Drosophila melanogaster: one gene and its partner. The protein of the gene in region 1 purifies or fractionates together with the protein of each later gene. This does not show direct contact. Each region holds a gene or a part of one and is shown in the gene's direction. Other genes may lie near its edges.

Region 1 (3,754 bases):
AACTCGAACTCGAACTTCCTATTTATTTATAATTTCTTTGGAACTTATCATATCACAGCGATATCGAACTCTTTTCTTTTCTCTCTGTGCACTGGCAGATGCGATTTTGCATAAACAAATGCGAAATGTATTCAGATCTAACATATTTCGGATATAAAAGTGATGTGAAATGCGTAAATGAATGCAGAGAAAGGTGGCGAATTTTTCTCGCTGTGCACCGTGGGCTTCAATGTAACTGTAAATGGGCACGTGAATGGCGTGTGAAAGTGCAATAAACGAACGCTACAACAATCATGCCATCTCGCTTGCCGTTCGTGCGGCGAAATATAAATTGCAATGACGTAGATGGAGCCGCTGCCGGCGGCTGACGTCGTTTAACGGCGTTTGACGCAGACGAGGGGACGAAGCGGCGTGCGTGGGTGGGGTGGGTGGTTGGTTGTTTGGTTTACAACCAGTCGGGCGATACTATAAGGATACGGGAGGGCAAAGGACACAGGACACCAAGTGGGGAAACGAAATGAGGAACCTACCCCATTTTGGTCATGCACTGCAACTCCTTCATTATCCTATCCGGATGACTGGTTGGTATGTGATGCTTGATGGCGAACTTGCGACGCAGACTGTCCGGCAGATGCGATTCCCGGCGCAGTGTGCCCAGCAGCACCGTGCTAAAGGTTCCGTTGCCAATCCGGCTGTGAACATCGAACAGCTTGCCAATGTCCGGGATTCGTGTGAGGAGATCATTGATGGCTTCTGCAGCAAAATACAACCAATTAAATTCATCTGTATGCACTAACAAGTTGGATCAGCAACTGAACTTACCTTCGCTTTTGTTGCGTGCCTGTTTGGTTGTACGCGGCGTGGCGGGCAGACCCATGACTGCAGCTCCATTGAATTCCACTGTCTGCTCCTCGGTGGCGCCCGCAGTGGCGAATGCTCTGCCCGAATGCCTGCCCGCGCTTCCAGTTGCCGGAGTGCCGGTGGCATATTGCTGAACGGTCTGGCGCGGCAGCCTTTGGGTTTGCCTTGGCGCCGCACGCCAGGATCCGCCACCATTGGCGTACACCACATTGGTGCTGGGCACTCCCGTTTTGGGGCGACGATAGTGACTGCCTGGTGTGGCCAACTCCTGGCACATAACTCGATCGGCCATTGTTCCTCAGGAGCACAATCTTCTTGGGCATCGGCGTATTGATGGTGCTTGTGGTGGTTTTATGGCGGTTTTTACAGAAAAAAAAAGTGCCTAAAAAGAGCAAATTTTGACACGGAATTTTTTTTATTAAAAAATTTCTGTTCTCGGCCAGGCCAAAGTGTAAAGCAAAGTGTTTCCGAACGGTTGAACAGTTTTGACATTTGCCGTATGGACGAGCGGCAGCAGTAACTGAGATGACAACTCCTCTACTCACTTGGATAGTTTTTGTTTCCAATCCGGAGTCCTGCTGCGCCGCCCTTTTAATCCCGGAACTCTGGCTGTGGCGCAGCGTCCGTTGGTTGTATGTGGATACCCTGGATGGAGCACATGAACAACTCTGGTCACTGGTCGTATTGTCTGAATCGTGTGTTCTGGTCGGCGTTCCGCGGGAGCTGAGGTGCTATCAAACCATCGATGGCGCTACTGATAATATCGATGGTTCAGTTCCAGCCGGTTCGATGCCATCGATGGTTTTTTCGAGATTATGGATCAGTGTGCTCGCCGTCCGCCGGGGATGTAATACCAAAATTGCTTGTGTGCTGCCTCCAACTGGTCACCCTGGTTTGGCGGGAAAATCGCTTTTCCGGCGGAAGTAGAAGTTTATAACAAAAATCATATCAATTAATAATGGATCATGATTTACTAGTCATCTGCCCATTCTTGGATTCAAATATCACGTATTTCTAATTTGACATTAGTAAGCTCTAAAACAAAACAACCCTTTGTCGTAGTAATATATACATTTAATAATTAAATGTAACATTTTGTGCACCAAAGCTGGCACTTGATATACTGAAAATACCGTGAAATAGTATTTTTCGCAGTGTGCTCCGTGCTCGCCACGCGTTAATCGTTTTTTAGTACATTCACCACGGGCGCCGGCGTCATTGAATTGCTCGAAATTTCTGCGAACCTACAAAATTAATCAACTGTTATTCAGACAAAACAAAATGTCATTGGAACAGGTAAGTCCGAGTTGTTGAAAAACGAGCCATCAGTGAAATAACCCCACACCCATCGAATAACACAGCTGAAAAGCGATGTGGCCGAGCTGGCGGCCTTCCTGCAGCAGGCGAAAGGTGCCCGCGTAAAAGACGTGCTGACCACCGCTAAAGCGGAGGCGGAACGGGAGATTGTCAATCTGGAGTTGAAGGCCAAAATTGCGGCAGAGCGACAGGCCACCGGGTCGAGCGAAGCCAAGAGGTGAGCAAATCCATGAGGTCCAAGAAACCCAACACCCAATCGACCGAAACACAAAATCTCTTCGGGATTAGTCCATATCCCAAATGTAGTTCCACATCTTTCTACATCACTATATATGGGCAGAGATTTCTTAAACCATGCAAGCCCCACTAATGAATCCCCATTTCGATCGCCCAGATATCTGCACGAGCTGACCGACTACGGCTGGGACCAGAGCGCCAAGTTCGTGAAGCTCTTCATCACCTTGAACGGAGTGCAGGGCTGCACGGAGGAGAATGTGACAGTCACCTACACACCTAACTCGTTGCAGCTCCATGTGCGCGATCTTCAGGGCAAGGACTTTGGGCTGACCGTAAACAATCTGCTGCACAGTATCGATGTGGAGAAGAGCTACCGAAAGATCAAGACCGACATGGTGGCCATCTATCTGCAGAAGGTTGAGGACAAGCACTGGGATGTGCTCACCGCTATCCAGAAGCGTTTGAAGCAAAAGAAGGACAGCGAATTGTCCAAAGATGGCGACAATCCCGAATCGGCGCTTGTTAACATCATGAAGAAGATGTACAACGACGGTGACTCCAAGACGAAGCAGATGATCGCCAAAGCTTGGACCGAGAGTCAGGATAAGGCGAAGCTTGGCAAGGAGACGGGCGGCGGATTGGATTCTTTCGACGATCTTTAGATATGATAATAACCACACCCATTCGCGAATTAGCTAACTACCTAAGGCACTGCTTCGATTCCAGCACAATTTGTATATGTGGATAAATAAACTCCCAGCTAGGGCATTAAGTTAAAACGAGTGGTGTTTGTTCTTTTTTTTTTTTTTTTTTTTTTTTTTTTTTTGGCTTTTTATATATATATTTGTATATAGGCTTTTATTTAATTAATTAAATTCTTGTGATTAAAATCAATTATGCTGCTCGTCGCTTAGAGTACACCCTTGCGGTCTAATCTATTCCATTTGTAATAGTTAGTTTGCTTTCGAAATGAATTGATAATTACACTTTAGCTGTATTTAAAATACACTTTATATGTTCTGCGATATATATCCAAGTACACATATATAATATATATATATTATATGTGATGCGATGCTCATCATGGCCAGCGCTCGAGAACCCGTGGTGCACTTCATCTTGTTTTTTGCTCGATTTCTTATCAACCTTTTGGCATGCAAATCGGGCAATTGCTTAATTTTCTATAATTAAGTTTACACCACGGGTCAGGTGTGTGTGTGTGTGTGTGTTGTGGTGTGTGTGTATGTCTGTCTGTTTGTATTGGAACAATTTAATTGTTAAACAATTAATGATTAATTATTTTGGTTGCGATCTTTCTCGCCGCTTCGAGTTTACATAT
Region 2 (4,260 bases), on another chromosome or scaffold:
GCCTGCGGAATCAAGGATCTGAGTGTGGTGCAAAATGATCTGAAGTGGTGGGCCAGTGAACTAAACCGCATTGTGGGATGTCTTTTTGTGTAGGTTGCCTTACTTTCTCCTATTTCTTGGAAACGTAAACTTATAAAATACTTTTACAGGACCTTCTGCTGCTGCTGCTGCTTTAATTACTATGTGCCGTGCAAACAAACCGATCGAAGTCATTACTGCGGCAATTGCGGCTGTTACTTTGGACGTTCCATGAAGAGGAGGCAACCACTCAAATTGAAGGCAACCACCGCCTAGGCAGCATTGTTCACATATTTATTAAAATTCTTCTAAACACTCAATTTCCCACCCACTACTGCAATACCATCGAAACAAAAATAAAGCCAAAAATATCACATTTTCTCTTTTTTGGGCCGATTTTTTTCTCTTTGCATATCATTTGAACATTTTATTCCTACAATTTCTCTTCGCTAGCCTCAGTCTGCGTTTGTTTTTAAAGCAGTCAACATCTTTCGGTGCGAAATGGCTCAGGATCCGAAACCACTTTACTTTGCCGTGGGCCCCGGCCCCAACGACATTACGTGTCCTTATTGCAGGACCAAGGCCAAGACCCGTGTGGTGCGTTCCTGGCTGCGTTGCTGCACCAAGAGGCATCACTGCGGTGCCTGCGGGGAGTACCTGGGCGTATACCGCCGTCCACAACTTTAGATACCCACTGAAGAAGGATCATCGGATCCGAATTATTATAACACAATGAACAAATGTAGATCAGTTTTGTCATTTAATTTATATTCAATAATAATAATAAATATACTGCTGTTTGAAACGAATAAAAGTTTACTATTTAATGTGTAATGCTCAAAATGTACACTATACTTTTTACACTGTACATCCAATGGCATTTGTAACGCAGAGAGAATAACTCATTTGATTTCCATGCACTAACTTAATTACCAGACCAACGCCTCGGTTAAGAGAAATCGGGAGAGTGATTCTGATTTTGATTTTCCCTCCCATGATCTCTCCAAATTTGATCCATCTTTCAGTCACCGATCGTTCTCGCTGGAACTCGCATCATGACCGTGGACGAACCGCAGATTGTGGCCATCATTGTCAGCCACAAGCCACAAGTGGGATACCTGAAGGAGGAGCCCACCTGGATCCGTTGTCCTTCGTGTGAGAAGTCTGGAACCAGTTTGGTGCAACTGGAGTTGGTCACTTGCCTGCAGAGATTTCTGGGATTCACAAAACTTTGGTTGGCCATCTGCATGAAGCTTTATAAATCTTTCGTAATGTTCACTTTATTTCAGTAAAAAATGGTCTGGCCGCCAGGACATCAATCACTATTGTTCACACTGCGGTTGCTTCATTGGAAGATTTGTGCCCATCAGCTGCATGGAACGATGCATTTCGAGATCAGCCCGTAAACAGGCGGCCGTGGATGATATGACCCTGAAGACACGACCCAAGGATTGCGCTGAAAGGGCCCAGAAATCCAGGGAGAAAGTTCTGGCCAGCAGGGAGAAGAAGAGAGCAGAGAAGGCAGCCAAGGATATGGACAAATCTCAGACGCAAATAGCAGTACACCAATAAATAAAAGCATATTTTTTTACTTACTTTTTGTGTACAGAACCGTCAATAAAACAAGAGAGAATGCTACGTGCTAATGCAAACTGGACTTCTAATCCCTAAAATATTAAAAACTATACCAATAAAGTCAACTCTTCGAACTTACTTTGTTCCTTCGTACGAAAACCTTAACTTATGCTTTCGGCGTATTAACTATTTGAATTTGAATTTTCCGCCCGAATGTGTGATCATCAGACATCGTCATCGAATGGTCACACTTAAGCATCGATATTTCGACAAAAACATAAAAAACGATGGAAAACATCGATTGGCGATGCAACAAAGTTTTCTTACATCACTAACAGAAACCGAAAATTCAGTCGTGAAATATCCATTGGCGACGTCGCTTGAGGAATAAACTGAAGCGCTGTGAATATTTAGAACGATGAAGCTGTTCTTATCCGTTTTCGTGGTAGCCCTGGTGGCCGGCGTCGTTGTTGCCGACGATAGCAAGGGTCCCAAAGTGACCGAGAAGGTGCGTGCTCCTTGGACTTTCGTCCTTACATTCTGCATACACCACGTACATACACACACAAACACACACACACATTTGCTGCGCCATAAATCAAGTGAGATGACTTGTTAATAATAAACCGCTTCCGATTGCGTAGGTTTTCTTTGACATCACCATTGGCGGCGAGCCCGCTGGTCGCATCGAGATCGGTCTGTTCGGCAAGACGGTGCCCAAGACGGTGGAGAACTTCAAGGAGCTGGCGCTGAAGCCGCAGGGCGAGGGGTGAGTAGGGTACTTGAGTACCGAAAATACCCCAACATAGTAGGGTGCCAGGTACCGCTAGGCCAGCAAAAGATGCCGCTAATCAGCGGCACTTTGTAGGTTATAGCGGGGCTCTCAGATTGAAGCAATTACGTGGCGTTTGAGCGGCCAATCGCATACATCAGTTGACAAAGCGGCACTAATGGGTTAACAAAGAACGCCAACTGTTATTAAGTCTACCATACTATAAAAGTGCAGTTCTTGGGTATTTCTTTTTTCTTCTCTGAATTTATAAGTATGCATGTTCTTTTTTGGTTAGGTTTCGAGTTCTAAACCCAGTTTTTTTTTAAATTTAAATTCCCATGCTGACAAAACTGACCATCATGCAACGCTCTTATACCCCGCAGCTACAAGGGCAGCAAGTTCCACCGCATCATCAAGGACTTCATGATCCAGGGCGGTGACTTCACCAAGGGCGACGGCACCGGCGGTCGCTCCATCTACGGCGAGCGCTTCGAGGATGAGAACTTCAAGCTGAAGCACTATGGCGCCGGCTGGCTGAGCATGGCCAACGCTGGCAAGGACACCAACGGATCGCAGTTCTTCATCACCACCAAGCAGACCAGCTGGCTGGATGGACGCCACGTCGTCTTCGGCAAGATCCTGTCGGGCATGAATGTGGTGCGCCAGATCGAGAACTCGGCCACTGATGCCCGCGACCGTCCCGTCAAGGATGTGGTCATCGCCAACAGCGGCACCCTGCCCGTTTCGGAGGCCTTCTCCGTGGCCAAGGCCGATGCCACCGACTAAAGTGTTTGGGGAGCATGTCATCCATCAGCAACATAACCGATTTGAACTAAGCATAAACGCATAATCGATTTTTCCAGACATTTGCATTTACCATAGCTCGCCATGTTTATTTACATTTCGTTCCGTAAGCAAGTAATTGTGCTCAACTAAAAACAGAAATGGCATAAATAAAGAATGATTTTTTGTGTGATAAAGAGCTGGAATCGTTCTGTGTGTCTATACCATGATGCCGGTGGTGTGCAGGTTCAATGAACCGGTTTTGGTTCCATCGCTTTCTTTTGGCTCTGACTTCCCTTAGTGGCAACCGGTTTGTGCCTTCTTCGCCAATTTGTTTGCCTTTGTATGTTGTGCCGTTCTCGATTTAGATTGCCCATGTTCTGTCTGTTTTTTCTCTTTGTTGTTGATAAACAACGCTCGGTTCGTCACATTTTTCTGATTTGCACACTTGCGACAAATTAAAGAACACACAGACGAGTTCATTTGTATATTTATTCAGTTTGTTTGGGCCTGCTGGGAACTAATTGTATATGATTGAATGAACAGGTGCATGACTGTCTCTGCAGAAGTTAATCGGGTCGATTGATACTTAAATAAGTGCCACTGGCTCATCTTTCGATCAAGTATCCTGTTCTTTATAGAAAGTTTCCTTTCACAACCCTTGGACTAAATATTGATTACTATATACATACCATACTATACTATCCCATGTATATAGAGGTGAAAGCCCGAAACCAGCCCTCTAGTAACTAATTATATATAGCATAATTTTTCAGATCTCAGACGCTGATGAATTGGCAACTTTTACAATTAGCGAATGCACTCAAATGCAACAACATTGTCTAGAAATGCATATGTCTGCCAATCCTTAGACTTCACGTCCCCCAATCTTTTGTTTAGAGCGAGAGAAACCAAGAACTGAAGAGACGATCTCATATCGTTCAAATGTGGGGAATCGTATATGTACATATATATGAAGACGTACATATGTGCAATTGTACCCCTTTCACAGACCCCACAATCGCTGTGTATACATTAATGAAAGCAATAGGATCTATATGAAACGCATGTGTATTGGGGTCTGGTGGCAATCTCATGTGCCACACATGTTC

Evidence for each region.
Region 2: the proteins of CG3226 (region 1) and CG2852 purify together in Drosophila melanogaster (affinity purification with mass spectrometry, with the first as the bait; one large-scale study listed by BioGRID). This does not show direct contact.

The regions. Positions count from the first base shown.
Region 1 is NC_004354.4:6,652,549-6,656,302, reverse strand, and holds CG3226 (uncharacterized protein), read left to right. Parts: upstream 1-2,054; 5' UTR 2,055-2,142; coding exon 2,143-2,157; intron 2,158-2,222; coding exon 2,223-2,395; intron 2,396-2,572; coding exon 2,573-3,077; 3' UTR 3,078-3,190; downstream 3,191-3,754. Other genes in the region: Cdc7 kinase, read right to left, coding at 531-753, 823-1,153.
Region 2 is NT_033778.4:22,644,023-22,648,282, reverse strand, and holds CG2852 (uncharacterized protein), read left to right. Parts: upstream 1-1,938; 5' UTR 1,939-2,011; coding exon 2,012-2,101; intron 2,102-2,237; coding exon 2,238-2,362; intron 2,363-2,748; coding exon 2,749-3,151; 3' UTR 3,152-3,637; downstream 3,638-4,260. Other genes in the region: CG34445 (uncharacterized protein), read left to right, coding at 1-89, 150-294; CG34446 (uncharacterized protein), read left to right, coding at 520-705; CG30195 (uncharacterized protein), read left to right, coding at 1,074-1,252, 1,308-1,590.